3 linked regions of the Arabidopsis thaliana genome follow. The protein of the gene in region 2 purifies or fractionates together with the protein of the main gene of each other region. This does not show direct contact. Each region holds a gene or a part of one and is shown on either strand. Other genes may lie near its edges. The genes, in order: DRH1, CDC25 and AT1G42440.

Evidence for each region.
Region 1: the proteins of CDC25 (region 2) and DRH1 purify together in Arabidopsis thaliana (affinity purification with mass spectrometry, with the first as the bait; one large-scale study listed by BioGRID). This does not show direct contact.
Region 3: the proteins of CDC25 (region 2) and AT1G42440 purify together in Arabidopsis thaliana (affinity purification with mass spectrometry, with the first as the bait; one large-scale study listed by BioGRID). This does not show direct contact.

What each region holds. Positions count from the first base shown.
Region 1 is NC_003074.8:209,792-220,624, reverse strand, and holds DRH1 (DEAD box RNA helicase 1), read left to right. Parts: upstream 1-3,953; 5' UTR 3,954-4,151; intron 4,152-4,471; 5' UTR 4,472-4,482; coding exon 4,483-4,770; intron 4,771-4,851; coding exon 4,852-5,010; intron 5,011-5,155; coding exon 5,156-5,224; intron 5,225-5,835; coding exon 5,836-6,105; intron 6,106-6,204; coding exon 6,205-6,555; intron 6,556-6,631; coding exon 6,632-6,909; intron 6,910-7,005; coding exon 7,006-7,314; intron 7,315-7,412; coding exon 7,413-7,548; 3' UTR 7,549-7,762; exon of another isoform or gene 7,763-7,954; intron 7,955-8,101; 3' UTR 8,102-8,107; downstream 8,108-10,833. Other genes in the region: AT3G01560 (proline-rich receptor-like kinase, putative (DUF1421)), read right to left, coding at 31-312, 433-741; PPT2 (phosphoenolpyruvate (pep)/phosphate translocator 2), read left to right, coding at 1,769-2,065, 2,177-2,299, 2,368-2,520, 2,629-2,714, 2,816-2,897, 2,985-3,104, 3,189-3,266, 3,374-3,503 and 1 more; MYB57 (myb domain protein 57), read left to right, coding at 9,474-9,645, 9,732-9,861, 9,955-10,273; AT3G01520 (Adenine nucleotide alpha hydrolases-like superfamily protein), read right to left, coding at 10,704-10,812. UniProt on the Arabidopsis thaliana protein: ATP-dependent RNA helicase involved nonsense-mediated mRNA decay and ribosome biogenesis through rRNA processing.
Region 2 is NC_003076.8:859,283-867,321, forward strand, and holds CDC25 (Rhodanese/Cell cycle control phosphatase superfamily protein), read left to right. Parts: upstream 1-3,273; 5' UTR 3,274-3,309; coding exon 3,310-3,440; intron 3,441-3,846; coding exon 3,847-3,985; coding exon of another isoform or gene 3,986-4,042; exon of another isoform or gene 4,043-4,287; intron 4,288-4,496; coding exon 4,497-4,667; 3' UTR 4,668-4,894; downstream 4,895-8,039. Other genes in the region: AT5G03450 (Transducin/WD40 repeat-like superfamily protein), read right to left, coding at 1-179, 275-711, 804-914, 1,035-1,093, 1,181-1,259, 1,522-1,602, 1,851-1,895, 1,985-2,074 and 2 more; AT5G03460 (uncharacterized protein), read left to right, coding at 5,109-5,111, 5,221-5,298, 5,808-5,909, 6,141-6,227; ATB' ALPHA (Protein phosphatase 2A regulatory B subunit family protein), read left to right, coding at 7,513-8,039. UniProt on the Arabidopsis thaliana protein: Tyrosine protein phosphatase that dephosphorylates CDK complex and activate its kinase activity in vitro. Arsenate reductase that plays a major role in the reduction of arsenate to arsenite and arsenic retention in roots.
Region 3 is NC_003070.9:15,892,789-15,903,976, reverse strand, and holds AT1G42440 (pre-rRNA-processing TSR1-like protein), read left to right. Parts: upstream 1-3,871; 5' UTR 3,872-4,037; coding exon 4,038-4,128; intron 4,129-4,203; coding exon 4,204-4,358; intron 4,359-4,428; coding exon 4,429-4,560; intron 4,561-4,638; coding exon 4,639-4,689; intron 4,690-4,781; coding exon 4,782-4,922; intron 4,923-5,021; coding exon 5,022-5,144; intron 5,145-5,245; coding exon 5,246-5,323; intron 5,324-5,430; coding exon 5,431-5,523; intron 5,524-5,603; coding exon 5,604-5,726; intron 5,727-5,979; coding exon 5,980-6,063; intron 6,064-6,159; coding exon 6,160-6,258; intron 6,259-6,391; coding exon 6,392-6,583; intron 6,584-6,702; coding exon 6,703-6,778; intron 6,779-6,952; coding exon 6,953-7,056; intron 7,057-7,142; coding exon 7,143-7,405; intron 7,406-7,485; coding exon 7,486-7,572; intron 7,573-7,655; coding exon 7,656-7,886; intron 7,887-8,018; coding exon 8,019-8,097; intron 8,098-8,187; coding exon 8,188-8,251; intron 8,252-8,333; and 3 more. Other genes in the region: AT1G42430 (inactive purple acid phosphatase-like protein), read right to left, coding at 9,655-9,811, 9,897-9,971, 10,073-10,112, 10,230-10,351, 10,515-10,640, 10,756-10,833, 10,939-11,020.

The sequences.
Region 1 (10,833 bases), on a different chromosome or scaffold from region 2:
CTAGTTTCGAAAAGCAATCAGCAAAGTTACCTCTACAAGGATATTTTTAAGCTGTCTCATTTTCCCATCAGTGCTGCCGTGACTATTGTCAACAGAAACTTTGAGATCATCCACCAGGTTCTCGAGGTTGTGGGTTCTGGTCTCCAGCTGTGAAAGACGTGCACTAACACCTTCCATTACATGAAGCAAGGTATCGGTATGTTTCTTCATTGTCCTATCTATAATCTCGGACATAATAGTCGTGTTAAACACATTTTGACCCTTGTCAGGAACCAACTTGGAAGGTTCAATAGAATCGAGAGATCCAAAATTCTGGCCGAATAAAAAAAAACAAATCAATCAGAAATAGACAAGTCCTCTTATAGGCTTATGATGTAGAATCATGTACAAAAAAAAAAAAGAGAGGAAGATTCGAGAAGTAGTAGTAAGTACAGTGTTAGGCGAAGTAGTGGAAACGGGTTTATAATCAGAGGCGGACCAATTAACCCTAGTCGTGGATCCGGCGAGATCTAAAGCCGAGTGAGACAATCGTGCGGCGGTGGTGGGACGTATGGGATGGAAATCATAGCTAGGAACGATCACTTCTTTCTTAGAGTCCAATCCATTATCGCCGATCACCTGCTTCTTCTGGTGATCATCGCCGTCATGATTGTTCATCAGATCGATGAAATCAGTGGAAGGTAGAGATGAAGAAGAAGATAGATCCATTATCTGCTTATCCATAAACTGACAAGTATTCATCGATCCACCCGACAATTTCTCCGACTCCCGAATTTCTTCTTTTCTTTCTAAAACCCCTCAGATCGATTTTTATTTTTTTATTTTTATTTTATTTATGTCATAAAATTGACCAAGTTGCTCATGTCGACGTACCTTCTGATTGGCGTAGAAGGTTATGGACCCTAAATGGGCCGAAATGTATTTAGAATTCAGTTTCCATCCTCTCCGTTTAAAGCCCAAATTGTGATCAATGACCTGTACCAACACTGACATAATAAGTAAATGGTATAATCAATAATGTGATCAAAGCAATGGGACCAACCTTATTTGTAATAGTATGAAATAACACGGAAAGAAAAGGGTGGACTCAGGAGCATACAATACAACATCCACATGTTTCAACGCGGCCCCTTTCATATCATCCATACAATTCTCCCCTGACATTTTCAAATTCCACACTAAAAATCAATTGGTGTTGTGGTCAGTAATTTGTCATGTTCGTACGTAAACTTTATTTTAAATAATTATTTATAGCGTTACCAACTTTTTGATATTATTATAAACGAAGAAAACCACGGCCCCTTTGTAAAGAAATGAGTGACCAAGTATGTCAAATCATTTCCATAACATTATTTACAGAACACACATGGAATGGAGAACATGAGAAGAAACAATACCGGCAAATACCACTGGCTCTTATGAGGAAAGATAAATAAAATCGAGCCAATGTTATATTGAAAAAAATGTCGGCATCGGCATGTGAGTTATTTTTATCATACTCAAAAACATTCAGATAGTAGAACGAGAGAAAAGTCACATAATAAAGACAACTCTTCTAAATAATACTAATATCAAGTTTGCAGTATATCCAAAAACAAAACAAACTTTTTTCTTCTTACATGAAAATGAGGAGGTAGACTCATGTAACATAACTCTTACCAATAGAGGAAGAAGAAAAAGTTAGCAAGAGTCGGTTACTTGTGAGAAATTCCAACAAATGCCGGAGGATTTATGCACATCTTGGAGCATCTGATAAGAGGAAAAAATTATGTTCGCTCTCACATTTCTAAATCCAAATCCAAGACTTCCATCTCCATTGTTCCTTGCCAAGTCTACTCCTGAATCAGCGTTGAGCAGAAGAAGCAGAGCTTTTTCATCTTCTAACTCTTATCCTTGGAGACCGAACCTTAGATTTAATGGCTTCAAGCTCAAGTCAGCTACAGTTCCGGAGAATGTGGAAGGAGGAGATTTGGAATCTGGAAGTTTGGTTAAAGGGTTGAAGCTAGGAGGCATGTTTGGAGTTTGGTACCTTCTCAATATCTACTACAACATTTTCAACAAACAGGTTCCTTCTTTGCTTCATTTAATTAAACAGTCCATTTCAATGCAAGAAGCAGTACTCGAACCTATTATCAGTCTTCATACAAGTATGAAACTTGTTCATTCATCGATCCAGGTACTTAGGGTTTATCCATATCCAGCGACTGTAACAGCATTTCAATTAGGGTGTGGAACGTTGATGATTGCTATAATGTGGCTCCTTAAACTCCATCCACGCCCCAAATTTTCTCCTTCTCAGGTAAATCAAATATTGATTCCGTCAAACCCTAAAAACAGAGAGATTCATTCAATTGTAATCCTCTCCAGTTTACGGTGATCGTACAACTAGCAGTAGCTCACACGTTAGGGAACTTGTTAACAAATGTGAGCTTAGGAAGAGTAAATGTCTCTTTCACCCACACTATCAAAGCAATGGAGCCTTTCTTCACCGTCTTGCTTTCTGTTCTCTTGCTCGGTGAGGTAAGCAAAACAAAGATACGCTCTGTTTCAGACTTAATCTATAACCTTAGATTATACAAGAGAGTTATATTTTCAGACATAATCTTTGAAATTTTGATTAATGTCCAGTGGCCGAGTCTGTGGATTGTTTGTTCGTTGTTACCTATTGTCGCTGGAGTCTCTTTAGCATCTTTCACAGAAGCTTCTTTCAATTGGTATGAACAACAAGAACAAGAACAAAAAAAATAGTATTCTTGATAAACTTTTGATGAAGTTTTAATTGATTTGATTAATTCATGGTATTGGGATAAACCAGGATTGGTTTCTGCAGTGCAATGGCTTCTAATGTGACGAATCAATCACGCAATGTCCTCAGTAAAAAATTCATGGTTGGAAAGGTAAAAGAGTTTGAATATAAGTTATCCTTATGATCTCAAGAAAGAAACTAGTAATCGAAATCTATTAATGTTTGTATATTGAAACAGGACGCTTTGGACAACATCAACCTTTTCTCTATAATAACCATTATCTCCTTTATCTTACTGGTTCCTTTAGCAATCCTCATCGATGGGTTCAAGGTTACTCCTTCGCATTTACAAGTAGCAGTAAGTGGAAAAGCATAAACCGATATAGCTAGATGATCTAAAAGAGAAAGAACTAATGTGTGTTTGTATGTGGTTGCTTGACAGACAAGCCAGGGTTTGTCGGTAAAAGAGTTTTGCATCATGTCTCTACTTGCTGGTGTTTGCTTGCATAGCTACCAACAGGTTGGTCCGTCTAGTTCCTCCGTTTCAGAAAAACTGTACTGAATTTTGTAAAGTCGGTTAGTGTTAGGCTTCTAATCAACACATAAAAATTGGGGTTGTTGTTGTAGGTATCGTATATGATATTGGAGATGGTGTCTCCAGTAACACACTCTGTAGGGAACTGCGTGAAGCGTGTGGTGGTTATTACATCATCCATTCTTTTCTTCAAAACTCCAGTCTCACCTCTTAACTCTATAGGTAAACAACTACTAGTAGTATATATTAGTAAAGGATTTGTTACACTTGTTCATTTTATTGAAGCAATATATAATCACTTGTTAAATAAACAGGTACCGCGACTGCACTAGCTGGAGTATATTTGTACAGCAGAGCCAAACGAGTCCAAGTCAAACCAAATCCAAAAATGTCTTGAATTTTGTATATAGAAGCTCTTAGTTTATTATTTATGCGAAAAATGTTGATATTTTTGTTCATCCATGTCGTTTTTACATGACACTATTAACTTTTGTTAAATTCAACTAATCTCATTAAATAATTCTATTCTTTACATGGAAATTATATAATGGGCCTAGGAATAAAATTGGAGTGGCCCAAAAGGGCCCAAAAGAAGGAGGCGGCTCATTAAGGTGCAGATATTTTTGTTGCGACGATGGATGGTTTTATAAACCTAACTAACAGAGACGGTCTAAAGTTGGACATCCTTGCTTTTGGTCTAACTTTCTCTCTCTTGCTTCTACGCTTCTTCTTGTGGCGTAGATTGTTATAGAGAGGGAAACCAAAAAAGGGAATCTCAAAAGCTCGAGTTCACAGATTTGACCCGAGTCTTTAATCCAATCTGCTGGTTCGTTTTCCACATTCAAACTCGACTCTTGAATATCAAATCAGGTACGCGTTTATCTGTTGACAAAATTCCTCAATCCTGACTTAGATTCCTAGAATTTGGTATTTAAGCTCTCTGTTTCAATTTCTAGTTTCTCTCTAAGATTGCGTCGGTTTGGTCGTGTTTAATTCTGATTTCTGATCGAATCCTTTTATTACGTGTTAGTTTTTTTTTTTATTGTTCGATTTGAATCCAGATCTGTGACTCGATTGCAGTTGGATGCTTTTCTCATTTATGGTTGAATTAATTGAAACCTAAGTCGAGTTTGGTGATGATTTCTGTGGATTACCGATTTGGTTTACTGAATCGCTTTGACATGTTGCAGAAGTCTTTGCTATGGCTGCTACCGCTGCTGCTTCTGTTGTCCGTTACGCACCTGAGGATCATACTCTTCCCAAGCCCTGGAAAGGCCTTATCGATGATAGAACTGGTTACTTGTACTTTTGGAATCCTGAGACCAATGTTACTCAGTACGAGAAACCAACCCCCTCTCTACCTCCTAAGTTTTCTCCCGCCGTTTCTGTTAGCTCTTCCGTTCAGGTTCAACAAACTGATGCCTATGCTCCTCCCAAGGATGACGATAAGTACTCCAGAGGCTCTGAACGTGTGTCCAGGTTTTCTGAGGTACTACATCTGGTTGCTGTTAACGATATTTTATACATTATTTCTCTGTTCATCTGTTTACTTTTTCTCAATTTGCTATAGGGTGGCAGGAGTGGACCGCCTTATTCGAACGGTGCTGCTAATGGAGTTGGGGATTCTGCTTATGGTGCAGCATCTACCAGAGTTCCTCTTCCTTCATCAGCTCCAGCAAGTGAACTATCCCCTGAGGCCTATTCCCGCCGTCATGAAATTACTGTCAGTGTAAGTATCTAAGACCTTCCTGTAACAATCACCCTCGTTTTTATGGTAGACCCCTATGTTCCTCTCTTTTATCGTTGTTTTATTTGAGCTTTTTTATTTTCTTAGATTACTGAAGTTTACTGATATTTCTTTCCCATTTCTTCAGGGGGGCCAAGTACCACCACCTCTAATGTCCTTTGAAGCTACTGGTTTTCCACCTGAGCTTCTGCGGGAGGTATGATTGGTTAATAGTAAACTGAAATGACTTAGGAACCCCTCAAACCTGATAATTGTTCTACCAATAAGCGGAATCTATAACCTTATAATTGTTCTACCAATAAGCGGAATCTGTATTGAGTGTTTTTGCTAAAGTCTGATTTATTAACATAGCTTTGTTTTTCCAGTCTCAGACTTTTCTGTCACTTAGCTAAAATCGACTTAGGTATAACATTTAGAGTCAAAGTTTTATGCCATACGCACCCTTTTCTCTTTTTTTCCCAGGTGCGATGTTTGCTCCTGGGAGGAGCCAATGTCGTACACTGTGCCACTTCTTTGAGGTCCTTGCAAATTATTTGGAGTGCCCTATATGGTGGACCAAATTTTTTGGAAAGGGCTTCCCAAATCATCCAAGCTTGTGGCAGGGCCTGTTAATGGTGTGATGATTCATTTCACCACCGGGTCCAGACAGAAGAAGAGGCGTCCTCCTGCTGCAGGTTTCATCAGTAACCTTTTGCCACCTGCAAATGGGGGATGGTGCTTCTTCTGACATGAGCCACCATTCCATAAGCCCAAAAGAACCTTGGTGTTCCCCTTCTCATAGGACAGTGTGGTTTTCTGTTTTCTTAGGTACTCAGTGCAGGTTTCTCTGCTCCAACTCCAATTCAAGCTCAGTCATGGCCCATTGCTATGCAAGGTAGGGACATAGTAGCCATTGCTAAAACTGGCTCGGGAAAAACTTTGGGTTACTTGATTCCTGGATTTTTGCATCTTCAACGTATCCGAAATGATTCGCGAATGGGCCCAACAATCTTGGTATTGTCTCCAACGAGAGAGCTGGCCACACAAATCCAAGAAGAAGCTGTTAAATTTGGGAGGTCATCAAGAATTTCGTGTACGGTATGTAGAAGTCTCTGAACTTGTAAAGTTTCAACATGCTACTTGTGAAGTATATGTCTAACGTATGCCAAATGTGTGGTCTTATTATCTCTGTTTCAGTGTTTGTATGGTGGTGCACCAAAGGGCCCTCAGTTGAGGGATTTAGAAAGAGGAGCAGATATCGTGGTTGCAACTCCTGGGAGATTGAATGATATCCTTGAAATGAGGAGGATTAGTCTGCGTCAGATATCTTATCTTGTGCTAGATGAGGCAGATAGAATGTTGGACATGGGTTTTGAACCTCAGATAAGGAAGATTGTGAAAGAAATTCCCACTAAGCGTCAAACCCTTATGTACACAGCTACATGGCCAAAGGGAGTTAGGAAAATTGCAGCTGACTTGCTTGTTAACCCTGCTCAAGTCAACATTGGCAATGTTGACGAGCTTGTGGCTAACAAGTCAATCACACAGGTATTGCTTGAACTGATTCTATTGGTTCTGCTGACTGTTTCAGGAGAATCTGATTGTTGTGCTTTTTTGGAAACAGCATATTGAAGTGGTAGCACCAATGGAGAAACAGAGGAGGTTAGAGCAGATCTTGCGGTCTCAGGAACCAGGCTCAAAGGTGATAATATTCTGCTCAACCAAAAGGATGTGTGATCAACTAACACGCAATCTAACCCGCCAATTTGGAGCTGCTGCTATACATGGAGACAAGTCCCAGCCTGAGAGAGACAATGTTCTTAATCAATTCCGCAGTGGCAGAACTCCGGTTCTTGTAGCAACCGATGTTGCTGCTCGTGGTCTGGACGTTAAGGACATCAGGTATTTATATAATCCAAATCCTCCCAGTCCTGTAAAACAAATGATTAAATTATGTGACTTGATGATTATATTAGCTAATACGATTTGAGATCACAGGGCGGTCGTAAACTATGATTTCCCCAATGGAGTGGAAGACTATGTTCATAGAATCGGAAGAACAGGAAGAGCTGGAGCGACTGGTCAGGCATTCACATTCTTTGGTGATCAAGATTCGAAACATGCTTCGGATCTGATCAAGATTTTGGAAGGAGCAAACCAGCGAGTTCCTCCTCAGATCCGCGAAATGGCTACACGTGGTGGTGGGGGAATGAACAAATTCAGTCGTTGGGGACCTCCTTCCGGCGGCCGTGGTCGTGGTGGCGACTCTGGTTATGGTGGCAGAGGTAGCTTTGCTTCCCGTGACAGGTAAAATTAACATAGGACCTCATCTTCGTAAATTTATCTCTGTATGCCACTGAAAATATGATTGTGAGTTTGAGATTGTATAAATTTTTGATGTAAAGTAGAAGCAGCAATGGATGGGGAAGAGAGCGAGAAAGGAGCCGTAGCCCTGAGAGATTCAACAGAGCTCCACCACCGTCTTCCACCGGATCTCCTCCTCGCAGCTTCCACGAGACGATGATGATGAAACACAGATGAAAAGAGAGATACAAAGCTCTGATAAAGCCAAGTGACAGAAGATTGTGTTGTGGGGGATTTCCCTTATCATTGTGACATTATATATTTTTTGGCCGATGAAGAAACAAAAGAAAAAAAAACAAGACCAAGAAGACTGTTCCCTCCCATTGGAAATTTACGCTCAAAACTACAATTGATATCTTACAGTTTGTATTTCATCTTATTTATTATTGCAGCTCAGAGATTGGTAAGAATGTTTCATTAGATACGAACGACTTTCTTCTAATACTGTGGGATTCTCTAGCATTTAAATTACAAATCAAAGTGGTAATATTATGATTTCGGTTTAGTATTGTTAGATTTGGTTTAGTGTAGTTCGATTTGATAAACTGATTCTACCCAATCGAAATAATCAAATTAAAAACCCAAGTAATATCTTAATCCAAATACGAGCTGAACAAAATCACAACTATCTAAAAGCATTAAAAAAAAAAAAAAAACTTGGATTATTTATGTGTATTTCATTTTCAAAAGTGTCATATTATAAAAATTAAGAAATAAAAATGAACATTAGAAAAAGAAGTTTGGTGAGTCTATGGCTTAGATGAAAGTGTATGTCTTGTGTACTTTGATGATAATATAATTGAGGACAGCCTATTAATCTCCAAATAGACTCTTGTTTTTTGTGGTTACAAATTAATTTTCCTTTTACAACTAAACGAATCATGAACTCCTACAATCTAAAATCAAAGCTCACACTACATGTTCACACATGGCTTATCTTCACTATCAATATTAATCTTTCATTGATTGTTAGGAGATTACTCTTTTAGGAGTTTATCCTTAATAAATCATCATCAACCAAAGTACAAACTAACATTATAAAATCATTATACATAGAATGACAGTTCAAGGTTTTTTTTTACGAATTATAGTAAACCAACTATTATTTAGTTTTAAACTTCAGTTAGTGTATGTGTTGGTTAAATCATCAAACTCAAAATATACGATAAGTAGTTGGTTAAATTATTCTTGAAAAAGAATATTAATAACCCAATTTTTATACTCTCTTACAATAATTTAATTGAATTGTAAGCTGACACATCATTTAGATTTCCAGCCACAAAACCTCACTTACTAAATTTGGCATATGAATTACACCAAACCTTCTCAATTAATTGCCCAAAAGCAAACGCTATTACAACTTTCATTTCATTTTCTCTATCTATACTACTTATATTTTCTTTGTATAAAATGTAAACTCGTTAACACACACAAACAAAAAAAGATAACGTTGAAAAAAATAAAACACATATTTCAGACTGTAGTTTAGATGTGGTAAAATATAGCAAGAATATAAAAATATCAATATAAGTTTCAAAATTTAGAGAAGAAAGAACTTCATTGATTGTGAGTTCTAAATAAATAATGGTTAGTATATATTAGTGATAGAGGGTTAGGAAGAAGTCGTTATATACATAAACTCAGTGTAATGTTTCTGTCAAGCTTTGCTTTGATTTAAGATTGTACTTTCTTCCTTCTCACTGTTTACAATTCGTGTGGTCGTGAACTAATCACGCCAAGTTCTCTCGTTTAATTATTAATTTGATGTTTAGTTTTTCTTGGCAACTTTAGAGTTATATATATGATTAAGTTTTGTAATCAAATACTTCATATTTTCATTGATTTTGCATATTAATGCATATGTTTTCATAAAAAAAGAAAAACGAGTGTAAAGTTATTGATAGTTTCTGTTACTTATTAATTTTTAAGGTTATGTGTATTATTACCAATTGGAGGACTATATAGTCGCAAGTCTCAACCCTATAAAAGAAAACATTCGTCGATCATCTTCCCGCCTCGAGTATCTCTCTCTCTCTCTCTCTTCTCTGTTTTCTTTATTGATTGCATAGACAAAAATACACACATACACAACAGAAAGAAAGATGGAGACGACGATGAAGAAGAAAGGGAGAGTGAAAGCGACAATAACGTCACAGAAAGAAGAAGAAGGAACAGTGAGAAAAGGACCTTGGACTATGGAAGAAGATTTCATCCTCTTTAATTACATCCTTAATCATGGTGAAGGTCTTTGGAACTCTGTCGCCAAAGCCTCTGGTATGCTTTTTTGCACGTATTCAAATCATGTTTTGATGATGTTTTCTATGTATATAACTAAATTTTGTTTTTATTTTGTTAATAAGGTCTAAAACGTACTGGAAAAAGTTGTCGGCTCCGGTGGCTGAACTATCTCCGACCAGATGTGCGGCGAGGGAACATAACCGAAGAAGAACAGCTTTTGATCATTCAGCTTCATGCTAAGCTTGGAAACAGGTCTTATATAGTTTCACTAATTAGTACATGCATACGTAAATCAAATCTTAAACCTAATTTTATGTTGCTAAGTAATATTATAATATGCATTAGGTGGTCGAAGATTGCGAAGCATCTTCCGGGAAGAACGGACAACGAGATAAAGAACTTCTGGAGGACAAAGATTCAGAGACACATGAAAGTGTCATCGGAAAATATGATGAATCATCAACATCATTGTTCGGGAAACTCACAGAGCTCGGGGATGACGACGCAAGGCAGCTCCGGCAAAGCCATAGACACGGCTGAGAGCTTCTCTCAGGCGAAGACGACGACGTTTAATGTGGTGGAACAACAGTCAAACGAGAATTACTGGAACGTTGAAGATCTGTGGCCCGTCCACTTGCTTAATGGTGACCACCATGTGATTTAAGATATATATATAGACCTCCTATACATTTATATGCCCCAGCTGGGTTTTTTTGTATGGTACGTTATTTGGTTTTTCTATTGCTGAAATGTCGTTGCATTTAATTTACATACGAAAAGTGCATTAAATCATTAAATCTTCAATACATATGGAGGTGGTGTTTGAGTAACTTCTGGTCGTTAAAGCATATATACTACTGTACTCTTTTTTTTTCTTTCAAATTGTTGTTGTTTTTGATGTTTGGACTCTTTCAAAGAAACCAAATATATAGCAGTTTGGTTCAGTTTGAAAACCAATTCAGAAAACGGAACAAGCTGCACACACACATACATACACAGATACAAATACATATAGGGGTAGGAATTTGGATTTTGTACACACAAAAGCACTCTCTCTCTGTATAGATCAAAGAAGGAAGGGACGTTGTTATTGTTTAGTCATCAGCTGGATCACTGGGAGTTTCATCGGCATTGCGTTTGATCGTCATAACTGGACACTCCGCATGTTTCACACAGAACGCACTCACAGTCCCCACAAAGACCCTGCAAAGCAAACCCATGTTA
Region 2 (8,039 bases):
CTACACCATTACTATTACTATTACTGACTCCTGTTTGAGTCAATGAGGGCTGAGTCGGGACTGTATCATCAGATGATCCAACTCTTGGTCTATAAGAAGCTACTATATGATTGCTGCGGGGACAGTACGAGGAGGATATGCATACACCTGGGTTTCCCGTTTCCGAAACTAATGATGGGCTAGACAAAGGAAAAAAAAACCGAAATTATAACATGTTAGAGCCTCAAAAATGCAATGATAAAATTCTTCAACTTCTGTGATGTGTGACCTCTACCTTCCCTCGCTACCACTAATGTTCCACTGACACAGCCCGATGGAAGAAGCAGATAAGAGGGTACGGACATCAGAAGTTGGAGTGGAATTGCCAGAGAGATGATGGACAGTATGAACTGGATTGGTTGTTAAGCCTGTCATCGATGCGAAAGGTCCCGTGGTTTGACGCATGTCAAATATCAAAACCATTCCATTTTGTAGTCCAGCATAAATATGGTGAGAGCTTTTGAGATCCCACGAGCAAGACCAAGGTGCAGCCGGTAGATCATAAGATAAGACAGTATTGTGGCTCTCCAAGCTTATAACAGATAATTTTTTTCCTAGAGACCCAAATACTGCAAGCCCATTATTGTGAGGGGAAAGGTGAAGATCTTTAATTGCTCTAGTGGTACGAGGCAACAAAATATCATCAATCTCACAAGGCGAATGTAGGCTCATCTGCAATATATTAAAAAAAAAGGTCGTATAGTGCATCATTTTACTGGTATAAGATAAAAAAGAAAAATGAGAGGCAAAACAAAAAAGCTTACTTGCGTAAGCACAAACGTTCCACCAACGCCTGAGAGCCTACGGGCATATAATAATATTTGTCTACCACCATCTATGTCAAATATACGGCCACCGTTTATTAGCAGATCTCCCTACGAAAAATGGATGGTAACGAACTTTATAATTTGCATAATACACATCAACACAATTGCAAAACAAACAATACTTCAACTAAACCAAAACAATGTGTCTGAAGGAGCACTAAGCCACACCTGATGTCTGAAGCTGCAAGAAGGTGACTGTCCATGATGCTCTTGGTAGATATTATGAGCTGCAGGCGTGCACTTACAACTATTTAGACGCAGAGAATTTCAAGAGGAAGAAAACAAAAAAAAGGGGCATGTTATTGTGTGATTACCAGGTATATATTTCTCCTGAGAAGCCACATTAGACTGGCTTTGCGAACCCTTAGTCGTACTTTCCATATTAGCTATTTTCTGCAAAAACAAAAATTCTAGCCATGACGCTAACTAGAGAAACATGTGCGACAATTTTATGAGAAAAAAAAACAAAAATAAATATAATCTTAGGTTGGGAGGGAAATTATAATGGGAACTCTTAGTCAAACTGAGCTCCCTTTTAAGAGTAACGAACCAACTTAATATTCCAGACTCGACTAGTTACTAGTAATCTTAATCTGTCCAAGCACAAAACAAAGTGACAAGAGTGACCACGTTACAACAAACTCTTAGAGTGTACCTTCTTCAGCTTAGTAACTTCTAATCGTAGCTCAGCTTCAGTTATTTTCCATTGAACTTCTTTGTTACTCCAACTCGCAGTCTGCATGACAAATAAGAACATATTAAAAGCTACAATACTAGTACGACGGGCTACACACATATGTTCCTGTCATCTAACACAGACATAACCTACATAGACGACTTATATAATGAACACATAAAGAGGTTTTAGTACTGAGGAAAATCTTATTGCGAATGATTTGAAAGCATTTCAAATAACGAAGCCCAAAATAATGCGGACTAATACTAGCAATATCATGAACTATCTGAGCAGTAAATTTATCCTACCTTCTGTTCAATTGACCTTAACTTGGCCTCCAGAAATAAGATTCTCTGCAAATATCAACAAAAGAATATCAGATTTTGATACTATGATTTGCTTTTACGAATGTATTTCGGAAAAACAACACTCATTGTAAGACCTTGTGTGCTTCATCATCTACTGCAGCAACCCGTGATGCATAGATTTTCCGGACATCTCTCAAGCTACATATTTTGTTGCACAGGGGACACTACAAAAGAAGCCAATGTGATTCGATGAGCAAGATAACTATATCCACTAACAGCAAAGGGATTTGAACAACTTCATAACAACCACAAACCTTCCCTCCACTTCGTCGCTGCTGAAACCACTTGTTGATGCAGGAATATCCATACAAGTGTCCACAGGGAAGACAACTTGTACCATCACACCAGATTAAAAAAGAAAAGAGAACATTAGTTGCACTCAAAATATTAGACGTGACCAGAGTAATCAAATAGTTAAAAGAGATACTAATCACAATCCAGTTCGAAAGTTTTGTATGACAAAAACCTAATCAACTAAGAACTATATAATTGCCAGTAGCAAATTACTGTCATAATTCATCAAAATTGATAGACCTAGATCATGAGATTATCAAATTGCTAAAACAAAACATAATCTATACACTATAGCCTCTAAAGAGCCAACGAATTCCAAAGCTAAATTACTGGAATCGAGAATACCAGACTTGGTGTTGGCCACCGCTGGTCCAAACTTCCATACAGATAGAACAAGACAATCCCTCAGTGTCACCTTGTTTCCATTCGACATCCTCCTGCGATCCGGAAGACGATGAACAAACACCTTGTGACCTATTCTGATTCTCTATCCCTTCACTCTCGTTCTGTGAAACCCTAACAGGTGAGTCTAGGACATCGATGTATTCCCTGGTTTGGCGTTCGGAATCTTCTTCCTCCTCTTCCTCCTCGTCTTCCTCTTGTACTTCACCATAGTCGACATATGCTTCCTCTTCGTCTTCCTCTTCTTCGTCTTCTTCTTCTCCATAGTGTCCAAATGCTTCCCCAAATTCAATGAATCGTGCAATTGTACCTCCGTGACCACTGAAGGGGTAACTCCGGCGAGGCGGCATTAGGTTCGTTTCTGTTACTGTATCAGATTTCGGAAGAGAAGAAGGCCAAAACGTCTCGGCAGAGTCGCAGAGGTATCGAATAAGAGAGACTCCCGGAATTAATAAAAATAATATTTAAAAGTAAAAAAAAATAGTTAAAAGATAAAATATTATAACAATGCGGTGAGCGTGGATCGAACACGCGACCTTCAGATCTTCAGTCTGACGCTCTCCCAACTGAGCTATCCCCGCTTGTTGTTATCATTTAATATTTAAACTTTAATAATCTCTAAACGTAAGCGTCACGTCAAATTGGTCGCAGTCTTCAATGAAATGTTCGTGACTTTTAGGGAAGAAAAGGTGTTTGGAGAGATATGGGGAGAAGCATATTTTCCTTTTTCACTAAGAAGAAAAAAATGGCGATGGCGAGAAGCATCTCTTACATCACCTCTACTCAGCTTCTCCCTCTTCATCGTCGTCCCAACATCGCCATCATCGATGTCAGGTATAACATAATCGATTTATTTCCGTCGATTTTAGTCACTAATCTGATCCTTTACCAAATTTTAGTTCGAATCAATCCCGATTATTGTTCTTAGGTTTGATTTTGCTCTACTATGTAATACTGATATGCGTTTTAAGAGATTACTTTACTTTTGAACTCTGGGGATCAATTAATTATGAACATGTTTTCTAAAACTGGATATTTTGTAGAATCTCTGTCGAAAAACAACTATTAGGGACCTCATGAGCTTGGAACAAAGGTTTTGTGGTTAGATGGGCTGAGAAAGAAACAGACTTTTTGTAATACTTATATAGGTTCTTCTGATACATAGTTATGGCTTAAACAAATTTAGACTTTTTATGAACCTATTGTATAGCTCACATTGGAGGAATTGTATGTTTTTAAGGGATGAAGAGAGGAATTATGACGGGCATATAGCTGGATCGCTACACTATGCGAGTGGCTCGTTTGATGACAAGATCTCACATCTTGTTCAAAATGTCAAGGACAAAGACACACTTGTCTTCCATTGTGCCTTGAGCCAGGTGTGTGTTTTACACTCTTTTCACTTCCCCATAAGATCTTCTTTTCCTCTTTTTTGAGAAACAACACATAGGTTAGATAAGCGGCATCAATTGGCTATTCGTAGAAGGAGATGTACATCTCTATGTTATACATAGTTGATTCATGTTTCATAGGTTAGATAAGTGGCATCAATTGGGTTTTCTTAGAAGATTTATATCTCTTATGGTCTACAATAGGTCCTTCATGTGTCAAAAAGTGGATTCGAGGTCGCAAAATCCAAGTGTTTTCCGATAAGTTTGCCTACTAGTCCATATATTCTTATGTATGTCATGGAGTAGGAACTTATTTTATATTCTTAAAAGAAAGAACAAAGAACAACGATTAGCTTAGCTCCCCAAATCATCAAGCTCAGTCTTTTAGCAACCTTTGATTTGAGGCAGTTCTCATTTCTTTGTTCCTAACATAAATCAGTACTTCGTTGCACTCAACATGAAGTGATTGCTAAAGCCTTGAAACCAATTCTTCCTGCAGGTTCGTGGCCCTACTTGTGCGAGAAGGCTCGTGAATTATCTTGATGAGAAGAAAGAAGATACTGGAATCAAAAACATCATGATCTTGGAACGCGGCTTTAACGGTTGGGAAGCTTCTGGAAAACCGGTCTGCCGCTGTGCAGAGGTTCCTTGCAAGGGCGATTGCGCCTAAACCCTACTAAACCATATTGGGACCTAATTGATGTTCCACATTGTCATGTACTAAAGTTGAATGAAGATTATCATAAATAATCTCTTATCAGTATGTTTGGTTTACATGGAGCACAAACACCAAACTTGCAACAACAATACTAAAAGGGCTTTTATGGTATTGCACGTTTGTGGAGCGTCAAAGCCACGTTGATATCTTAACGCCGTCAAAATAATAATGGATTTTTCGGTATCTTCTCTGGAAGAGGCACGTTACTTTATTAACGCCGTCAAAACTCTCTCGCTGATACAGAGTGTTTGCTTTCTTTTGTAGATTTTTAAAGTCATAAAGCAAAAGCAACGACGACTTCAGAGAACTACAATCATAATTTGTGATCTCTCTCCAATTTTCATCTTTTGGTCGAAATTCCCAATTCCCTGAGTCAAGAACCCTAATTTCAACATGGTAAGATTTGTTCGATATCGCTTGTTTTTTTTTTTATGGATCTAGCTTCCGTTTGTCTATCTTGCGGCTTCCATTTCAGATTGTTTGAAGAAATTCCTGAATTTTGTAGGTTTGCGTTATGTGTTTGGTGCCTCTGTTCCTCGTCCCGCTCATCAATTTAATGCCTCGAATCATCGATTATTTCATGGTAATTGACTCGTGCTTTCTTAATATTCCTTGAAGTTTTGATTTTTCCTTGGAATTTTGATGGGAAGAATGATCAGATTTCATGGGAAATTAAATGTCAGGATCCAAATTTCGAATTTTAGGGTTCTAAAGAGTGTGGAATTCGTTTAGTCTCAAAGGAGATATCTTTATTTGAAAGAAATAACAAAATTAGAGATTAGAAAGGGAAGAAGATAGTGAAGATGATAATCAGGATAAGCGAGAGAGCACATGATCATAATCTTTGCTTGTAAAAGTGAAAAACGAAGAGCTATATAGCTTTTGTTATTTGCTTGAGGTTGGCTCTTGGAAAGTTGAACATGTTAGCAATGTTTAGATCTTAGTTCTGTTGGTGTTTCATATCGATTTCTTTAGACTGTATCTTTTTTAAGTGAAAAAAAAAACAGTGCTTTAGTGAATCTTGCAGGTAGTATTTACTTGTGAACATTTGTTAACTCAAGTACTGTCTGTTCATGCTAAAAAATAAACTAGGCTAAATTGTACGCGTGGCTCGGATGGGAGTACAGGAAGCCAGCGAGAGTTCCTCCAGCTTGTCCTTTCAAGCCAGTTGCTAAAAACGACAACGCCACCAAAGTAAGTGAAAGGACTTTACTCATTTTTTATTCTTGGTTGAGTCGTTTCTTAGTTGAAGCAGTTTAGTTGATGGAAACATAGATTCTATCCTCCAATTGGTGTTATATGTTTATACTTCAATTCAACAATATGCCATGATCCCAGTAGCTTCCGAGAACTGACATTCACTGTTTATCTGATTTCTGAGTTTTTGTCTTTTGAGCCTTATGTGTAACACTTTGTCTGTTTTAGGTGGGTGCGGAAACTGGAACTGAAGGTACAGAAACAATAGCTAAACCTGGCGTTGTAGAGGAGACGGGTGGTATTAAGCAGGATTGAGGCCGAGTCTTTTCTTCAATAAAACCTTTTGTATTTGTGGATATGTTTTGGATAAGAGAAGAAGCTGGAAGTTGAAATTACCTGATGTGATACTGATAATGAATGATGTACGTTGAAAATGCTACGTAACAGATAATTTTCTTATATGTTTACTTCTCTCTCTCTCTCTCTTTTTGTCTAGAATCTTTTTGCATGTGGGAGATTTCGAATTTCTCAGTAAAACTCGGATCACTCTCTGCTAGTTCTTGAGCTTAATGCGTTATATGTTGTCTCGTAAAGTCTAAGTTGCATTATTAGTTTTATGGTAAGTTTAGTTTTAGAAACACTTAAATTTAGATTTAACCACCTAAACTTTTTCAAGCAAAGCCAAAATCATTGTCTTCTTGTTAGTTGCTATAATATCCCTTCGTTTTCTTCAAAGGTTGTTATTATCCATAGTGAAGAGTTTGGAACAAGAAATTTTTAAAGATTTTGTCTATTGCGACTACTCGATATTTGATTTCATCATCAAACATTCAAAATCTAGTGATGACCACTTGTCATTATTTTGTATTGTCATGTTAAATCTTAAATGGAGAGTTGAAATTCATGTCTTTTAATTTTATTTTTTAAGCATAACGTAATGTTTTATAATTAAAAAAAAAAACGAAGTAAGCATCTCGTTTTGCATAATTATAGTCATTATTATTCATATATGAATGGACCAAATTGTTAAAGTTGCGAGCACTTCACTCACAAGCCACGTGCACTAAGCCATCACACTTACGCTAGCGTTTAGGATAAAATCATAAAAATGTTTTACCAAAAATCAAAATAATTTTTAAAAACACTTTAATAAATATCTTCGTGTCTTTGGTTCTGATTTGAAAAGACAATAAAGAGAGAGATTTTGAATAACAGAAGAAATTTAATATCGTTACCTTTAATTTTATATTTTCTGTTTCCATTTTAATTTGAAGATCCTTCCCTTTCTTTCTTTCTCTCTCTCTCTCGCTCGCCGGGAAAAATCGCTGTCCAAATCTCCGGTCATTTCTCCGAGGATCTCTTCTATCAATCCAACGGTTTTGTTTTCATCTTCTCAGATCTCACAGAACAATAGTCAAAGACTGATGCAGAAGAAGCGTTAGTACAAGGTTTTTGTTGGAAAGCAATTGAATCTGAATTCATCTTTCATTTTCACGCTTTGATCCAATTTGAGTTCTCTCTTCCACTGAATCCCTCATACGTAAAACCTAGGGTTTCTAAATTAGGGTTCTCCTGAGGTCTGTTTATAGTGCGTAAAGCCATGTTTAAGAAGATCATGAAAGGGGCAAATCGAAAAGCCTCTAAAGCTGAGGCGAATGATTCGTCTATGTATGGGTTTGATCCACCAGGTAGGTCAGGTCCTGGATCCAATATGATTGTAAATCACGCATCTCGTGGTTCGCTTGTTCCTTCTTCTCCAAATTCAATGGCGGCGGCCACCACACAACCGCCTCCTATGTATTCAGTCGAGCCTCTTCCCTTGTTCAGAGACGTCTCTGTCTCCGAGCGTCAATCCTTGTTCTTGAGGAAACTCCAGATTTGTTGTTTTCAATTTGATTTTACGGATACGTTGAAGAATGCGAGAGAGAAGGAGATTAAGAGGCAAACGTTATTGGAGCTAGTTGATTTTATACAGTCTGGAGCAGGGAAGCTCACTGAAGTTTGTCAAGAAGAAATGGTAAAGATGATTTCGGTTAATATATTCCGGTGTCTTCCTCCGGCTTCACACGAGAATACAGGTCAAGAGCCTGCTGATCTTGAGGAAGAGGAGCCTTATTTGGAACCATC
Region 3 (11,188 bases), on a different chromosome or scaffold from region 2:
CTGAAAACCATAACTTTCAAGAAAATTTTAAATTAGCACTTGGTTTAAACCAATTTTAGTTGAGGTTAACTAATTTACTTTGACCTTATTTGTTAGACATACCCAATATCGATCATCAATATACTGTGGATCATATACATGTATCGGCACAATATAGAAGAATGAACATGCGAATTTTTTTTTTATTTTTTCTTTTTCTTATAATAATATTTTATCTAAACTTTTGTTTTCTACTTTTTACTTTTAACATGGATATATATTTTTTACAGTTCTAGTACACTAAGTGTAGGGTTAACAAAATAATATTCACTACAAAAAAGTGATGGATTACATCAATTAACTAGAATCAGAAGTATAAATGATACTAGTTTAAATTACTTATAAGCAAATGACACAAATAAATAATTCAACATCAATTCTAATAAGTGATTTGTTAATTAGTTTGTTTAGTGTCAATTTAATCAAATTGATACAAATTTGTATTAGTTTGCATCACTTCAGAAAATGGATACAAAAATATGTATTTACATCAATTAAGATAACCGATGTATTCCCTTATTTTTATTAACATCATTTTTAAAAATGATACAAAATATAGATCAATAGAAAGTGATGCTAAGAACTTAAATTGTATCATAAAATTAAGTGATATTATTTTAAATCACTTATGCATAAATGAGACAAATATTGATGATTTAGAATCAGTTATAATAGCTGATGTTTTAATTAAATAGTTTAGCATCAATTTGATAAATTGATAGAAATATATATATTGATTTTGATTTGGATCATTTTAAGATGTTGATACAAACCTATATATTTACATCAATAGATAATCGTTGTATTTATTAATTTATTATTAGCATCACTTATAAAACGATACAAATTAAAATATCAATTAAATAAATGATGCAAAATTAGTATCAATAATAAAATGATGCTAATTAACTTACATATAATCAAAATAAAAAAACACGTAGTCCATTTTATGTCACTCAATCTTAACTGATCTTAATCTTTTTTTCCAAATTTTATCTTAATCTATGTGAATTGTTTTTAAAACTGTTGTATTTTAAAATTAGCATGTTTTGAAAGTTGCACAAATATTTTTTTTCTAAAACAATATACGTTAAAAAAAAACCAATATATCACAAATCTCATCCATAATTTTTTTTTCTGTTTGTTTATTATATTCACAAACGTAGATATATTGTTTTGGAATCAAGATTGTGTTCTATATTTTAAATTGCTAAAAATCTGTTTTCTCTTTTCTTATTCTCTAAATTCTCATTTTAATTGTTTTTTCGATTATGTATAAAAAACTGTTTTGTTAAAAATCGAAAATTCATTTTCACTACCCCAACCAACCCACGATCTCTCCGTATCTACTCAAATAAAACTTGTAGTATTCCCAAAATTATTGTATATAAAATCAGAAGTTCCATAAAACTCTTCCTTAAAAATTCTCCAGAAACATCAATTTTCACATAATTCTTAAAAGGATGCCAACCATACAACTCCGATGAATATGAGTTATACGTGTACTTCTCCAACACAAAATCATATTGATCCTTATATGTTCATCTTCTAAACCTTTCCAAGACGACGAAGAATTGTTTTTCTGTTCTTATTTTTATTATTTTGTATTTCTCATTTTCTCACCCATGACTCTGATTTTCTATTTATTGGTTTTCATACTCAGAAAATCTCCACAGTGAAGAAACAATGTCACCAAAACAATGGAAAAGAAAAAGCTTGGACAAGAAACAAGATGTGTGTTCTTGAAGAAATCATACCTAGATCTTGAACTAATTAAGTTCATATCACTTTCTTTTTTTTTTTTGTATGTGTAAAATCTCTAATGAATTTATTAACTGCGTTAAATTTATGTTTTTGTCTTTTGTAATTGACGTTCTGGTATAATTATTTGTAAAAAAAAAATAGAAAAGATTTAGTAGATATTGAAAACGATTTTCCTATATAAAATTATTTAAAAACGAAACAAAAATATTTAAGATAATAATTCTGTTATAAATTTTGTAGTTTCTTTTAACCATCGTTTATTGAAAAATATTTAACACAAATATTAACATCAATTACTATTAAGTGATGTAAATAATTGAAATCAATTCTCTTAATTGACACTAATACTAACATCACTTAAATAAATAGATGTAAAATTTAACATTATTTTTTTCAATTGACACATATTCATATCAGTTAGAATAATTGATGTAAATATTTTATATCTTAACATCGGTCATTAATTAACTGATGTCAATTATTTGCATCAACAATATATAAGTCATTTATTTAAGTGATGTAAAATTCTTTTACATCAATTATAAGTAATACAAATATTCAAAATAAATGATATAAAATGACCCTTTTTTGTAGTGATTGCACAATGTTTTATAGAAAGATGAATATACATATATCAGTTTATTGTTTTTGGATCTAGAACTTTTTTTTCTTCAGTCTCAAATATTATATGTGACTCCTTTTAGAATGGCACACATTATAAATTAAGAAAAAGGTATTGGCTTTAAAAACTTGTACTAACATATGCTAAAACAACAGTATAAACCTCTTTTTGTAAAACAAATAACACACAAATATCTATATATATTAATAAATCATCAAGCTTTTCACGACCCACTCAAAGTAATCATGATCACTCATACTCATCTGATCTTTATCATTCCAACACCACGCCACCGTTTTACCAAAACTAAACAACTAAAAGAGCATCTGGTTCCGATTTCTCATAATTAAGAAGGAGAAAAAATGCTACATGTCAATTCCCATCTTTACAATAATAAATTCGTGAAAGTTAATGTGATGGACAGACAGTTTAGTGTACGGGTACATGTCAATTGTTGGGAATTTAACTTACAAAATATAAAAAGAGAAAAGCTAGCTCTAATATATGCGATGGGGGGACTCATTAAAAGAGATTCGTTTTAGAGTTAGCCCTAAAACTTAATTCTGCGCTTTTGACATCACATTCAATCCCGTTGTTGTTGTTTTTGTATGTGACACATATCAATTGATTGATAACACGTGTCACGATTGTGAGCCAAATTTGATATAATAATATGAATTTATAAATTTTTTTCCTTTTTTACCTTTCCAACCTAATTTTAGTCCTAATTTTTGTAATTTTTCAAAATTTTCATTCATTCAAATCATTTATTTTCTATTAAAATTTTGTTTTTATTTTTTGGTATAGAAAATGACTTTTAAAGTTAAAACAAAAACCTCAAAAAAACAAAAAACAAAAAAAAACTTTGTAAACTTTCAAATTTTTCATTCATCATATCATTTGTTTTTCCACTAAAATTTCTGTTTTTCTTTGTCTTTGTATACGAAAATGACTTTTAAGGTTAAATTAAAAAACCTTAAAAAAACCAAAAAAAAACAAAAAAAAACAAAAAAAAACTCTTTAAAATTAGGTAAAAGTTGAAAAAAGACAAAACGTTATATTGCCGAAAAAAGGAATATTAATAATTAAGGCCCTAAGAACATCCTTATTGGTAAGTTCTTAAATTAGTTCTTATGATAAGAACATCTCATTTTAACTCTTATATAAGAGACAAAATGACATTTATATAAAAGACAAAAAAAAATCCCAAGAACTAATCTAAGAACTTACCAATAATGATGCTTTAAGCATGCAAATGATATCATTTTAAGCACAAATAGTAATTTATATTGGGCTGATAGGCCCATAAACTGCATTTTATTGGTAAAGTTTTAGGCCCCAAGCATGTGTAGCAAAATATCATTTTAAGTCACAAATACTCATTCATATTGGGCTAATGGGCCCATAAACTTCATTTTTATTTGTGAAGTTAGGCCCACATATTTTGTAATTCTTCGTCTTCTTCCACTTTTGTCTTTGAGCCGTCGAACAAAAACAAGTAGTCTGAAGACAAACTACACAAAACCCTTGAGGAAATAAAACTGCAAAATTGAAATTAGGGTTTATACTTTAAAGCAGTCACCAAATCCAGCCACCATCTCTTGCTGAAGCCATGGGACGCTCTCGAGTTCAAGTTAACAAAGCTCACAAGACTCGTTTCTCCTCTAAATCTTCTCGTAATCTCCATAGAACCAACCTTCAAGGTAAACCCCCTAAATCCTCAACAATTCATCTCTTTCAATCTCCACATACTGAAAATCGCGTTTGAATGGAATCAGATAGTGGCCGGATTGGGAAATCGGATAGTAACTATGTTAAAGGAGCTAAAGCTGCTCGTGTTCAACGTGGTAAGATGCTTAGAGAGCAGAAGAGAGCAGCAGTTTTGAAGGAGAAGAGAGCATCAGGAGGAATTAACAGTGCTCCTCGTGTTATCGTGAGTTTTTACATGTTTGTGTGTTTGTTTGTTGCAATGTTCCACTTATGATATTTTCTAATGATGATAGGTTTTGTTTCCTCTCTCTGCTTCTGTGGAATTGAATTCACTTGGTGAAGATGTTTTGAAGTTGTTATCTTCTGATGGTTCTGGAATTGCTTCTTCGACAGTTGCATCTTCTGAGTATAAGCTACGAGCAACTGTATGTGTATTCCTAAGATTTGTTTATATAGATATATGAATATTTGTGTGATCAATGTTGTGACTATATATATTACAGGTGTTAAAGGCGCCTCATGGGGATCTTCTGACATGTATGGAAATGGCCAAGGTATGTGAATTGTCTTGTATTCGTTTGTTGGTTCTTTCAGTGAGCAGAGTTTGTTATAGGTGTTTACTGATTTTTTTTGGTACTGGTATTAGGTTGCTGATTTGATGGCTTTTGTTGCATCTGCAAGTGCTCCGTGGGAAGAGAATAGCTCTAACTTCATAGATTCTTTCGGAAGTCAGTGTCTTTCTGTGTTTAGATCAATTGGTCTACCAAGCACTACTGTGTTGATCCGTGTAAGTTCTTTCTGCTCTATATTAGTAGCGACCAGGTTTCTGATTTCTTGAAATTTTGCTTGAAGTTGAGCTTAACAAGTTCGTTTTGTATGATTGCAGGATTTGCCCAGTGATGTGAAAAAGAAAAATGAGATGAAAAAGATGTGTGCCTCTCAACTTGCTTCTGAATTTCCTGAGGATTGTAAGTTTTATCCAGCAGATACCAGAGATGAGTTGCATAAGGTAAATGTTTATGACTGATAATTTTTTATATTATTTTACTGAGTGGTTTTCAATAGTTTTAATGTTCTTAATTAGTAGAACATTTCTGGGCTTGTTTGCAGTTTATGTGGTTATTCAAGGCGCAAAGGCTTACTGTGCCTCACTGGCGAAGTCAACGATCATACATTGTGGCTCGCAAGGTGTGTGATTTATGCTTATATAAGTTCATTACATTTAATCTGACTCTGAGAAGAAAAGGGTTTTATAGAAAGTAGAATATCTCTGTAATGTTGAATGGTGCATTTAGGCTGGGATGCTGGTGGATGATGAAAGCTCAGGAAAGTGCACTCTACTTCTCTCTGGTTACTTGCGTGCTCGCAAACTGTCTGTAAATCAACTGGTAATCAAGCCATTCTGCTATCTATATCATGCCTTGTGCTATACCCATGGATCCCTTGTTAATTTATTTTCTCAAATTAGGTCCATGTTTCTGGCGTTGGGGATTTTCAATTCTCCAAAATTGAAGTGCTGAAGGATCCATTTCCTTTGAATGAAAGGAAAAATCAGAATTCCATGGAATTAGATGATTCACATGATGAAGAGGTATATTATATATAATATTTTCTTTACAAATCAACAAACTATTACTTTAGAAAAGATACATTAAGTTGAATCCTTCAGATATAGTTATAGGAAAAGAGGTTATATAGTTTGTTGGAATGCTGTCATAATATCATTTTACACTTAATTTCATTCTTAAAATAGGATGTTATTTTGCTTTCATAATGCTATTTTCACAGCTTTCTTCTCTTTGTAAATTCACTTTATTTTTTGTACCTGTGTTTGATTTGACCAGGTATTGAAGTCTCTGGTTCCTGATCCCATGAAACAAGAGCCTTTAGTAATTGAAAACACTCCAGATCCTTTAGCAGGGGAACAGGTAAGTCTGATTAGTTCTCTAAAAAATGAAGGTGGCAGTTGGCTCGTGTTGTTATCTGTTCTGGGAAGTCACTTGTGCAATTCTTCCTTTGTGTAGACATGGCCAACAGAGGAAGAAATGGCTGAGGCTGACAAAAATCAGAAGCAGGGCAGGCTAAAGAAGAAGACTTTGCCGCGAGGGACTTCAGAATATCAGGTTCCTGGATTATTTTTAACCTGATGTTTCTAGCCTCATTTTAACTATTCTTCTGTCTTGTGCAATTTTCCTCAAAAATAAATGTTATAAGCGGGTGGCCCTCTTATTTTGGGTTTTATGATTTGTTTTACAGGCTGCTTGGATTGTGGATGAAACAGATGAAGAGGATTCCGATAATGGTGATTCTGATGATAATGGTATGGTATTGGATAGAGGAGAGGATTCCAATCAAGAAGGAATGTATGACCAAGAATTTGAGGATGACGGAAAATCATTGAACCTGCGGGATATTGATACTGAAACTCAGAATGAATCCGAAATGGTGGTATACATTTCTGTCCACCTACTTTTATGACTTACAAAACAGTACTTGTAGCTTCATTGCATTTTTTGTTCTCGTCGACTATCTTGGTAATGTTATAAGCCAACTTGCTCATTGTTCAGGACGATGAAGACTTGACAGAAGAACAAATTAAGGATGAAATCAAGAAAATCAAAGAGGCATATGCTGATGACGAAGGTTGGTGTTTATTTCCTCTGTGTGGAGTTATGTTCTGTATGAGTCATTGTGTGTCTGTGTGTATAAATGCAAATATTCATTTGAGTCCTTGTAGAGTTTCTGTATCTCTCATGTGCTAATTGATTTTGTCTTTTCTGTTTTTACTCATTAAAATTTTCTTTTATGTTTTGTCAGAATTTCCAGATGAAGTAGAGACTCCCATTGATGTTCCTGCAAGAAGACGTTTTGCAAAGTACAGGGGTCTTAAATCCTTCAGAACCTCCTCGTGGGATCCAAATGTAATAACACTGATCTTGATGTGAATTTCATTATATTTTTCACAGTTAAGTGTTGCTAATTTTTTATAATTTATTGGCAAATGCAGGAGTCTTTACCTCAGGACTATGCTAGAATTTTTGCTTTTGATAATGTCGCAAGGACTCAAAAGCTTGTGCTCAAGCAAGCCCTGAAGATGGAAGAAGAAGACAGAGATGATTGTGTACCAATTGGGTCATATGTACGGCTGCATATTAAAGAAGTGCCTCTTGGTGCTGCCTCTAAACTATCTTCTCTTGTGAACACAACGAAACCAATTATAGGATTTGGGCTTCTGCAGCATGAATCCAAGATGTCGGTTCTGCATTTTAGGTAATCACTCTTAAGATATCTGTTTGTTGAGACCTTGAGTGCTCTGCCCTCTTCTCATCACCTTTGTCTATGTTTTGCAGCGTAAAGAAGTATGATGGTTACGAAGCTCCTATTAAAACAAAAGAAGAGCTAATGTTCCATGTTGGTTTCCGTCAATTCATTGCAAGGTAGCAAATTTTTTCTGCTTTATCTACTTTAGTAGGTTTTCTTGTTTGCGATCTTTTGTAATTTTTGTCGTGGGAATTTCCAGGCCGGTATTTGCGACCGACAATTTCAGCTCAGACAAGCACAAGATGGAGAGATTCCTGCATCCAGGGTGTTTCTCGTTGGCTTCAATATACGGCCCCATATCTTTCCCACCCCTTCCTTTGGTAGTTCTGAAGATTTCTGAAGGGTCGGATCCTCCTGCCATTGCTGCCCTTGGTTCCTTGAAAAGCGTAGAACCCAACAAAATAATCTTAAAGAAGATAATATTAACTGGGTAATGACCTCATTCCAAATACAATCACATATTCCAGTTTGGATAGATACTAATGCTCTGACATTTGAACTGGGGAGATAAAAAACATAATCTGTAGTAATTCTAAGCTGTTTGAAATGTGGTTTGGTTCAGGTACCCTCAGAGAGTATCGAAAATGAAAGCTTCAGTCAGATATATGTTCCACAACCCCGAAGACGTGAAATGGTTCAAGGTAAAAGAGAAAAATAGAATCGATGGATTGAATAATATACGTATTAATTTTTATGTTAAGCTAAAGCTGGCACAATGTTTGTGTGTGCAGCCTGTTGAAGTATGGTCAAAATGCGGGCGTCGTGGTCGCGTGAAGGAACCAGTAGGCACACATGGTAAGGCATTAGTATTAATAGAAGAGATTGCCAAGCTAGAGTTTTGTTTCTGGAATTTTCCTTATACATGTGAGCTGTGCAGGGGCAATGAAATGCATATTCAATGGAGTGGTTCAACAACATGACGTAGTGTGCATGAACTTGTACAAGCGCGCTTATCCCAAGTGGCCTGAACGTCTGTACCCACAGCTTCTCTGATTCGAATTTTTTAAATGAAGATGATGATGTTCAAGTTTCTCTGAATTGACGACATTCTTCTTTGGTAATTTATGGTGGTGGTTTAGTGGAAGTCCTCCAGTTTTGTCCTGTATGTGATAAAAATATGCAAATTTTCTTCTTTATTGCTCACTATACATATACATTTGGAATATGGGGTTGAACCATTGATAAGCTTAATTGTTATGAGAAAAATACTTAAATAGATTGAGCTTGTTCTTATTAAAGACATTGCTTGCTTGCTCACAATAAGCTACCTATATTTGATTAATCTGCCTCATATATGGGAATATCGTCTTTTTCATAGCCCGACATATAAGCTGTGTTGAATTCATACAAGTATCTAATTTTTATTTTTTTTGGTCAACTAAAAAAGTATCGTACAAGTATCTATTAAATGTACTAAAACAAACTCTCACTTTCATAAAATTCAAATTGCAAACCTGAAATATACAAACTAAAATATATAAAAAACGTGGAAAATGCTTAACATTGTTAACCCACCGTCAATTCATGTTGACATGGATTGTGACGTGCCCAAAGACTCCAAAACGACGTCGTTTGGAGTGAAATGAGATGCCAAATTTTCCGCATAAACGACGTCGTTTCCGCATAAATAGATTGCTGATTGTTTTTAGGCTTGTTTTAGATTTTAGGTTCTTTGTTGGGTTTAAGGTACTTGGTGATTGTTTTTAGGCTTGTTTTGCATCGGATGGTTTATGCGGAAAATTTGGCATCTCATTTCACTCCGAATGACGTCGTTTTGGAGTCTCTGGCCACGTAACAATCCACGTCAACATGAATTGACGGTGAGTTAACAGTGTCAAGCATTTTCCACATTTTTTTTTTATATTTTAGCACAATTTGTATATTTAAATTTGAATTTTTATATCATACAAGTTTGAAATTTGAATTTTATGAAAGTGAGGATATGTTTTAGTACATTTTAATAGATACTTATATGAATTCAACACAGCTTGTATGTCGGGGTTGAAAAAGCTGATTTTCCTCATATATGGACATGAGAGGACTAATACTTGAGCAAGAGATTCGAAGAGATGGACGTTGGATCAAATGGATCAAGAATTATATCATCTCACCCATAATTCACAACATTCTAAATTTATCGAAAAAATGATAAAGCAAAAAGGCTATTACGCTAATAAGCTAAACAAACAGATGTGATGTCATTGTGGTTGGTCAGGGGGTAGGTCAGGCTCAGGAGGTGGAGATGGCCCAAACTCGAGGTTTGGGTAGACACCCGGAGGTCTCTCTCGTGGTTGGATCGAAAGCAACTGTGTTGAATCACCTACCACATCTGCCCACCCATAATGTGGCTCAGCCCTTCACCAAAACATGATATCAAGGATAGATTAATAAACCACAAAGGTTAGATTATATGTTAAGATGTAAGCTCTTTCTCTCTTACTCATAGTATGTTTCTTCATCCACCACTATGTCCCAGCTTTCTCCTGTGGTACTCTTTCCGTACTTGTGAACCTTTCTGCGATCAACGATCTAATATTAGACCTCCATTTACACTAAATGCAGTGCAAAGACAGACAAACAAACATCTGAGGCTTCCAAGTAAACAAAGTTCCTTACCCGTTTCCAAAGTGTTCCTCTCCCCACGTTCTTGACCAACCTGAAAACGTGAGGTTATCGGGTTAGGCGAGATTACAAACATAGTCAAACAAAGGAATTTAAAGAAGAAGAAGAAGAAGAAGAAGAAGAAGAAGAAGAAGAAGAAGAAGGAACTGACGGTCGCTGTTAGGTGATACATGCCATGTCTCCCCCTGACGTGAACCAATCCCACTGAAAAATTTCTCTTCCCACTTGTCTCCCCATTTGGTCCCCAACTCTGTCTCAGCCCACTTGTCTGTCCTGTGGATTGTTCACCAACAACTAAATCAAAATCATTAACACAATCTTTTTGATCTCAAGAATTTCACAAATTAATGTTCAAGTAACTCTGGCTAACAAGGAGCCTTATATATAAACCAGTAAGGAAAAAATTGAGGACTAGAGAGTAGTTAGAATAGAAAACCATTTGAGAACAGATCCTCTTCCATCATAATGCTCCCCCCACTTCTCCCACCATGACTGCTCATTAAGTCTACCATACTTATGTGCTCCTTTCTCTGTCCACCCTTTAGCATCGTACTTCTCCCACCTGATTTTCAGTGAATGATAGTTTTAGTCCAGTAGAAGAATAAGCTTCTCCTTTACATCAAACAAAAGCAAACACTGCAGGGTAATATTAGCAACTGGTGTTGTTATTGACCTACCATTTCTCGTACCAACCAGCATTTTCAGTTCCTGATTTTGCTTGCTTTTGTGCACTCCTTTCAATCCTTGCTAGATTACTGAAATTTGATCAAGTTGACAATGAGAGGACTGTAAGAATCTAGCAGCGCGAAAACTGTTGGCAACGAAGCTATATCTGGTAAAGGGAATGTTATAACATAGACCTCCACTCATCTTGATGAAGGACTTCTTGCCAAGTTTCCCACCAAGAGTCACCCTCAGAATTTTTACCAGATTTCTCCACACCTACAAAAAGTACACTCCACTGAAATGAGAATTCGTAAACAAAAAAAAAACAGAACTTTGACACACTCATTAATCATCAGTAACAAGGGATAAGGGGCAAAGGGAAAGGAATTGCAGCAAAACAAAATGATATCAATTGAACTTCCAACAGTTTCAATGCTTCCAATA